Linked DNA regions of Nothobranchius furzeri. The protein of the gene in region 1 purifies or fractionates together with the protein of each later gene. This does not show direct contact. Links are inferred from orthologs where the notes say so. Each region holds a gene or a part of one and is shown on either strand. Other genes may lie near its edges.

Evidence for each region.
Region 2: the proteins of exosc9 (region 1) and dis3l purify together in Homo sapiens (affinity purification with mass spectrometry; 3 studies listed by BioGRID and IntAct, with this or other methods). This does not show direct contact. The link is inferred for Nothobranchius furzeri from reciprocal best matches to the Homo sapiens genes EXOSC9 and DIS3L.

Annotation. Positions count from the first base shown.
Region 1 is NC_091746.1:81,904,544-81,908,058, forward strand, and holds the end of exosc9 (exosome complex component RRP45), read right to left. Parts: intron 1,887-3,515; coding exon 1,798-1,886; intron 1,712-1,797; coding exon 1,562-1,711; intron 1,472-1,561; coding exon 1,296-1,471; intron 1,218-1,295; coding exon 1,142-1,217; intron 1,058-1,141; coding exon 994-1,057; 3' UTR 895-993; downstream 1-894. UniProt on the Homo sapiens protein: Non-catalytic component of the RNA exosome complex which has 3'->5' exoribonuclease activity and participates in a multitude of cellular RNA processing and degradation events.
Region 2 is NC_091749.1:66,618,180-66,622,753, forward strand, and holds the start of dis3l (DIS3-like exonuclease 1), read right to left. Parts: upstream 3,326-4,574; 5' UTR 3,190-3,325; coding exon 3,060-3,189; intron 1,470-3,059; coding exon 1,319-1,469; intron 1-1,318. UniProt on the Homo sapiens protein: Catalytic component of the RNA exosome complex which has 3'->5' exoribonuclease activity and participates in a multitude of cellular RNA processing and degradation events.

The DNA of each region.
Region 1 (3,515 bases):
GTGCTGAACAACCAGTGGTATTTGGACCTCAGTTGGTCAATGGACCTCAGGGACCTGCTGGGGGTGTGAGGACTGAGAAGATCCCTAAAAACCAGAACCAGGATCTTGAAATTAACCCTGAAGTTGACTGGCAGCCAGTGAAGCTGGAGGAGAAGTGGGGTGATGTGGGTGTGTTTTGAGTATTTGGTCAAAAGCTGAGCACACACAGTTGCGTTTCAACTAACCACGGTAAGCAAAAACTACTTCAAAAAACTGATGACTACATTCCTTCTATTTAACAAAACCTGTCATCAGATCTCATCACGGCCGGTTAGCTCAGTTGGTTAGAGCGTGGTGCTAATAACGCCAAGGTCGCGGGTTCGATCCCCGTACGGGCCACTTAGTTATTTTTACTCTGTCCAAATCCGTCATTATTTTAACCATAAATGATCTGCACTTATGTGACGCCAGAGGACTCCACAACGCATTTCACTAGGCAAGGCAGCTTTATTTATATTGCACATTTCATACACAGAGGCAATTCAATGTGCTACTGGCATTCATTTAACGAAAGATATCTGTTGTGTCTGCAAACCTAAACAGAAACAAATTAACAGTATGTCTCTGCTGCTTTTCAATAGGAAGGAGTTCGCCCGACGATGCCAGTATGGTTCCATGGTGTAATGGTTAGCACTCTGGACTCTGAATCCAGCGATCCGAGTTCAAATCTCGGTGGAACCTGATTATTTTTAACGTAAATTGGTTTGTTTTTTTTATCACTCCACCATCACATCTACACGGTGAATTTTTGTCTAAGCGTGAATCTCGTGTGTTATCGTGAACCTGACTCATGACTTATTTAAGTTTCTTATGAGTGACATATGATGGACAAACTTTTGATTCGCGCAACAATGATTCTAGAAATGTAAAAAATAAATTTATTTGAATCAGTTTTAAGCCTTTTTCGATATCATATTATTGTAGTATTTTCTCTGTTTCGGTTTCAAGCTGCGGTCATTTCTTCTGGCGTTTCTTGGATGCTGCTGCCCCCTTCTGGTCAGATCTGGACCCAGAATTCCTGAAGAAGAAAAAAATCAGAAACCGGTGAGATTAGTTTAATTTATCAACCTCCTCGGCTTCATATCAAACAAATAGATGTTACTTTGATTTCTCTGTCGTCTCTGGATAAAGTATGACCACCTCCTCTTCCTCACTGTCTGAAATCTCCACCACAGCTGCTGTAAGACAAAACACATTAAAGTTCAATTATAATTTTTTTTCTTCTTCCATGACTTTTAGTTATGAAAACAAATAACCTTCTTTCTTGTCTTTTTCTGACAGTTTTATCTGTGTCACTTCTTCCACTTGGTCATCTCCACTGCTCTCCTCCTCCTCATCATCATCATCTTCTTCTTCCTCCTCCAGTCCCCAGCTCTGCAGACCCTGACCCACCTGACCAACACCTGGCACCGGCACCACTGGGGATGGGACTCTGGTATGGGTGTGTGGTTAGGGAGACTAACTGTCAGAAACAAAAACAAATGCCGTTCCTTTTTTGTCCTTTCATTTCAGTTCAGGATACGTTGGGGGCGGGGCTTCATCTCCCTGGAGGATCACCCCACTTCCTGTTTGGCTCACGTTGGTCATCTCTACATCGGTCTGGTCCATTTTCAGAGCTGTGATCCGATCCTGAGGCATGGACTCGGCAAAGCCACATTTACCACCTGCCTTCCTGGAACGTTTCAAACACATCATTCAAATGTAGCCTCTAAAGGGAATTGTGGGTAATGTAGTAATAAATAGGAGACAGCCACTCACCTGGCAGCCTTGTCATTTAACAAGGCTTGACTGATGAGTTCAGTGATTTCAGACACTTTGACGCTGGCTATTTTACTGCATCTCATAACCTACAACAACACAGAGCAAAAACATGCTGATGGATTCAACTAGGAATTAAATTATTAAACAAAGTCTTTTTTCAAAGAATTCCTTCTAAATATACTTCAGACTGACACGTGGGAGTCACAAGAAGAAGAAGAAGAAGAAAATATCATTTCTATAGCACCTCTCAAGATAAAAATCACAAGGCGCTTCACAAAAACAAAAATGTTAAAATATAAAAAACAATTTAGAAAATGGTTAAAAATATATTTAAAATGAGCAAAAAATAGACAATTGTGATCAAAAAAATGTTAAGAAAGAGAGAGTGAATAGGAAAGAGGGAAATCAGTGGATCCTGAGGAAGGTGGAATAGGTGGGGAGAGCAGAATAAAGAGAGAGAGGTGAAGAAGGTCATACAAAAGCCAGCTTGAACAAGTGAGTCTTCAGCTGCTTTTTAAAGGAGACCACTGAGTCCACTGATCTCAGGCTCAGGGTGAGAGAGGTCCAGAGTCTGGGGGCGACAGCAGCAGATGATCTGTCACCTTTGGTCTTTGGCCTGGTGCTGCACAACCAGTAGGCTTTGATCACTGGACCTCAGGGACCTGCTGGGGGTGTAGGGACTAAGAAGATCACCAATGTAAGATGGTGCTTGTCCATGTAAGGCCCTATAGACCAGAACCAGGATCTTGAAATGAACCCTGAAGTTGACTGGCAGCCAGTGAAGCTGGAGGAGAAGCGGGGTGATGTGGGTGTGTTTGGAGGACTTGGTCAGAAGCCGAGCACAGGCGTTCTGAACCACCTGTAGACGGTTCAGGGAGGTTCTGCTCAGACACGTGAAAAGAGAGTTACAGTAGTCTAAGCGTGAGGAGATGAAGGAGTGGAGAACCGTCTCAAGTTCAGAGCGGGACAGAATGGGACTCAGCTTAGCAACGTTCCTGAGATGGAAGAAGGAAGAGCCAACAAGAGAACTGACATGAGAATCCAGGGTGAGAGCTGGGTCAAAGGTCACGCCAAGATTCCTGACGGAGGGTTTGGTGTGGGAAGCAAGCTGACCAAGAGAGTCTCTGACTTTGGGAACCAGCTTGTCTGGGGCACAGATGAGGATCTCAGTCTTATCTTCATTCAGCTGAAGAAAGCTCCCACCATCCAGGTTTTGATAGAGTCTAAGCAGGTGTGTAACAGCTGCAGCTTAGACATCTCATGGGGCTTAAAGGAGATGTACAGTTGGATGTCATCTGTGTAAAGATGGTAGGAGATTCCTTTGAAGGAGCTCAGGATGTGCTGAAGAGGAAGCAGACAGAGGAGGAAGAGCAGAGGCCCCAGCACAGAACCTTGTGGGACACCATGGGTAAGGGAGGTGGTGGAGGACCTAAACTTGGAGACTGCCACAGAAAAGGAGCCCTCAGAGAGATAAGAGGAGAACCACTCCAGAGCAGATCCTGATAGGCCTACCCAGTCTCTCAGCCTCTCCAGTAGCAGGTGATGGTCAACAGTGTCAAAGGCTGCAGTCAGGTCCAGCAGGACCAGAACCAGAACCCTGCATCACTGTGAGTCAGAAGGTCATTAGAGACCCTAAGAAGAGCGGTTTCAGTAGAATGAACTCTACGAAAACCTGACTGGAAGCTATCATAGATGTTCTGTTCATCAAGAGCAGC
Region 2 (4,574 bases), on another chromosome or scaffold:
TAACAGAATCCTGACACCATCAGAAACGAAGCCTCACTCTAATGATGCGACACTGCCGAGTCGGCGGAAACCCAAAACAAATTGGACTCGGAGACAAGGTCAGCTGGGAATCCTTATTTACAGGTTTGTTCAAGTCAGTCAGAAACCGGAGCAGAAGGTTAAAGTCACACCTGCATCAGCAGAACTCTGACATAATGAGGTCAACCCGGTCCCGGTCTCTCTCTCTCTCTCTCTCTCTCTCTCTCTCTCTCTCTCTCTCTCTCTCTCTCTCTCTCTCTCTCTCCCTCTCCCTCTCCCTCTCCCTTCCCTCTCTCTCTCTCTCTCTCTCTCTCTCTCTCTCTCTCTCTCTCAATCCGTAACTTTCCTCTTCAGCCGAAAGAACCTAACGACAAGCTGGATAAAATCTGTTGCTGTTCCAACTGCTGCAACGGTTCCTTTCAGAATAAAAGCTGAACCATCACGACCCCCTTTTTGGTCTCGCTAGATGCCAATAAAACTGTCGTGACCCGGAAGTATCCCAAGACTGGTCTGGTCGGACGGCAACCGCTGCTTTTCCTAAAGGCTTCGGTTCCAGAGAAGGTCAAGCTGTCATGGCCTGAGGTATATTGTTCCCCACACTAACCCTTCTCCTGCAGGTGGGCGGTGCCGGAGAACTGCCCAGCTGCAGCCACTCAGCTGCAATCACCGGCTGGCTATATGAGGGGCAGTCTGAGACCTACACGACGTCGGATGATTAACTCGTTTGGGTATATGACCTAGTCTCGAGCTCTGTCGCTATCTTTGAGCGTGTTTTGTTTTTGTGCCCTTGCTGATTGCATTTTCCTACAGCAGATATCACTCTACATCATCCCGCCAGCCGATCTCTCTCTCTCTCTCTCTCTCTCTCTCTCTCTCTCTCTCTCTCTCTCTCTCTCTCTCTCTCTCTCTCTCTCTCTCTCTCTCTCTCTCTCTCTCTCTCTCTCTCTCTCTCTCTCTCTCTCTCTCTCTCTCTCTCTCTCTCTCTCTCTCTCTCTCTCTCTCTCTCTCTCTCTCTCTCTCTCTCTCTCTCTCTCTCTCTCTCTCTCTCTCTCTCTCTCTCTCTCTCTCTCTCTCTCTCTCTCTCTCTCTCTCTCTCTCTCTCTCTCTCTCTCTCTCTCTCTCTCTCTCTCTCTCTCTCACACACACACACACACACACACCAGAACCAGCTGCTAATGGTTTGTCAGGAAAACTTATGAGATGTTCTCCATCACTTTGGAATAAAAAAAGACGGTAGACTGGAGTTCTTCAGACAACCCACTTCACCCTCTATGTGTGTGTGTGTTTGTGTGTGTTGTACCTGCGCCCTTTACTCTGCAGAGCCTGGCAGGCCGTCTGGGTGAAGATGACTCCCTGCAGCTCCCTGAATTCCAGGATCTCCAGGAAGTTGACCACCACCTCCACCCCCGGCACCACATAGTGGGTCAAGTCTCCGGGCAACACCTTGCCATCTGTTGAGGGGTCATCAGGTCGTTACCATGGCTACACACAACATATTCACTGTTTTATACAGAAATCAGATGTTCTGTTACACTGATCTACCTGTGATAATAAATCCATCAGAGAAAATACAAATATTAAATTATATCGGTCCTCTAACGTTCGGTTGGACAAGAATGTGAGTCTACCAACAGCTCCAATCCATCCATCCATCCATCTTCTGAACCCGCTTTGTCCATGTAGGGTCGCGGGGGGGCTGGTGCCCATCTCCAGCAGTCAACGGGCAATTAGGCAAGGTACACCCTGGACAGAGAGCCAGTCCATCGCAGGGCAACACAGAGACACACAGGACAAACAATCATGCACACACACACACACACATAAGGACAATTTAGACAGACCAATCAACCTAATAGTCATGTTTTTGTACTGTGGGAGGAAGCCGGAGTACCCAGAGAGAACCCACGCATGCAAAATGAGACCATGCAAACTCCATGCAGAAGGATCCCAGGCCGGGAAGCGAACCCAGGACCTTCTTGCTGCAAGGCAACAGCTCTAACCACTGCACCACTGCGCAGCCCAACAGCTCCAGTCCGAGTCATCAAATCAAGTTTAACCAATCTGCTTGTTAAATCTGTTGGAGAAAATGAAGTTTAAAGCAAAATTTTGTTTAAATGAATCAAAAAAAATCTTTACAGTATGCTCTAATGGGAAACAGGTCTCAACACAAACGGTTGGTTTCTGCTTGGTCCTAGAGCTCAACCAGTGTCAATTTAGTATAGCGTAATATTGTTTTTGGATGGTAAAATGTGCAGGGGTCAAAACTTGACGTTGGAAAAAGTGGGGAGGGACATGCCCCCCCCCCCCCCCCCAATTACGTCCATGCATTTACTGATTAGTAACAAACGATTATAAAACTTTCACTATTAATAAACATTGTTTTACACATTTATCTCTTCACTTGTTGCCACTGATGAAAGGAGGTCTGATGTGCTTGTCATTTTCCTGAAGTTTGCACTCCTCAGGGCTTTTTGACCCTAATAGGCATCCGTTGGTAAGGTCTTACTCCAACACAAAAATGCTGCTTGCTTGCAATGTTTTAGGTGTCTACTGCTCCCCATCAACCAGGAAAAATACACACTGGCACATTAAAGACAGTTTTAAGTCTGTTTGGATCGCTGGTACATATTATATAATAGAACAGTCCTTTGTCTTTATGTCTAACTGTTTTATCTTGTATGTTTTTATCTTATCTGTTTTTCTTTAGTGTAAAGCTAACTATGTGTCTGTTGCTGCTGCATCTTGGCCAGATCATCTCTGTAAACGAGAATGAGCTCTCAATCGACTCATCTGGTTAAATAAAAATAAATAAAGGTTTAATAAATGAAGGACTGGAAATAAAACACTCGTTAGCTCTTAGTGGCTGGCTGTGTTTTTAGCGACTAGATGTGTTTTATCGGCCGGTTTATTTAGTTATTTTTGTTTGTTTTTTGCGACTAGTAGTGTGTTTTATAGACTGGTTGTGTTTGTAACGACTAGTTGTGTTTTAAACGGCTGTTTGTGTGTTTTTAGCAACTAGTTGTGTGTTTTGGCGGACTTACCGTTAGCACAGGCCGCCTGACACAGAGAGCTGAAGCAGGGAACCCGCTCCCTCAGATAGTGCTCCCGAACCACCCGAACCCTCCGGCCTCGGTAACTCTTCAGGTGCAGAATCTTCTCGGTTTTAATCATCCCGAACTCTGAACCGAAATGGATCAGCAGCCGCTGACCCAAAGTTTACAAACCGGAACTTTAAAGTGAAGACTATGTTTTGGCGGACTTGTGAGAGGGAAGCTCCAAGTGTTGTGCCGAAAAGAGCATGCCTGGCGAAATGTGCATCCCCGTTGTGGAAAGGCGCTTAAAAAGTACTATTAATGTAATATTATTATGTTTATCTGCGTGATTCCTTACAAAAAGATCGTTTGTAGGCAGATAAATTAAAGAAATTTATGTTTAAAACATTTTTATTTGAAGAAATAGTAATAAAGTAGTAATAAATATTTTAAAATGAGTAATTTTGTGTCACGTGTGTTTTTTAAGAACCAACAACAAAATAGTTGGGAGAAAGCACAAAAATACATAAAAAATGCTCACTAAAACATTATTCTCAAACGTTCAAAAACGTAATTTTTTTATAACTATTTCATCATATTTGTAAACAAAAACAAAACGCTTTCACGAAAAACACGTAACAGAAGCGTGTTAGCCTCGTCGCTCATAAAGTATTCTAGTTTACCTCTATGCTTATTTCATGGGGATACGCATTTCGGCAGGCATGCTCCTTTCGGCACAACACCTGTTTCCGTGTTGAGAGAGTCGGAGCCACGGTTGGTGCTGTCCTTTTGCGTTCATGTACTGTCGGACAAAAGAAAACTCATGGATTCTCTTCTGTCCCGCAAACAGAAATTCTTCAGGTGTTTTTCAAAAGGTTTTTGAATTTACCAGAATTTTCTGAAATAAACAAAAAGACGACGTTTACAAAATATGTTCTAGGGGTTGATTAAAAACACTTTTATCTGGAAAAGTTTCACATTAAAAAATTGTTCACAAAACAGTTAAATGTTTGCTTAAAGGTATCTGTGTTGAACTAGCCTGGCAAGCCAGACTAAATAAGTATATTATTTGTATTTAAACTTAAAAGGGAGGAATCTGGTCTAGTTTTACTAGCCTAGTATTGAACACCTTTTCTGGTTAGAATACTAAACAGGAAATTCTGTCATCAGCACTTTTTTTCCCCCCTCTGTGGCAAACAGCAAATCTTTTATGATTCATGTGATGAATTTATTGTAGTATTGTGAGAGGTTAAACATTTTACAGGAAGCCTCTAGGTGGACCTAGTGTTCTGGATGCAAAGTGGGGTGTACTTTAACATTAGACAAGCGGAAGTTCGTTGCCGGGAAGCATGGCTGTACCTGTGTTGGAGTAATAAATATTCCCAAAGAACAACCCACTCTCCGTGAGCTTATTCTTGCCACCAGAGGATATTACATTTATATACAATTTTAAAAAGACCCAAAACATTTTTTTTACAACTAGAAACTGTTTTTTGAGCCTTTGTACAGCCTATGAAATGTTGT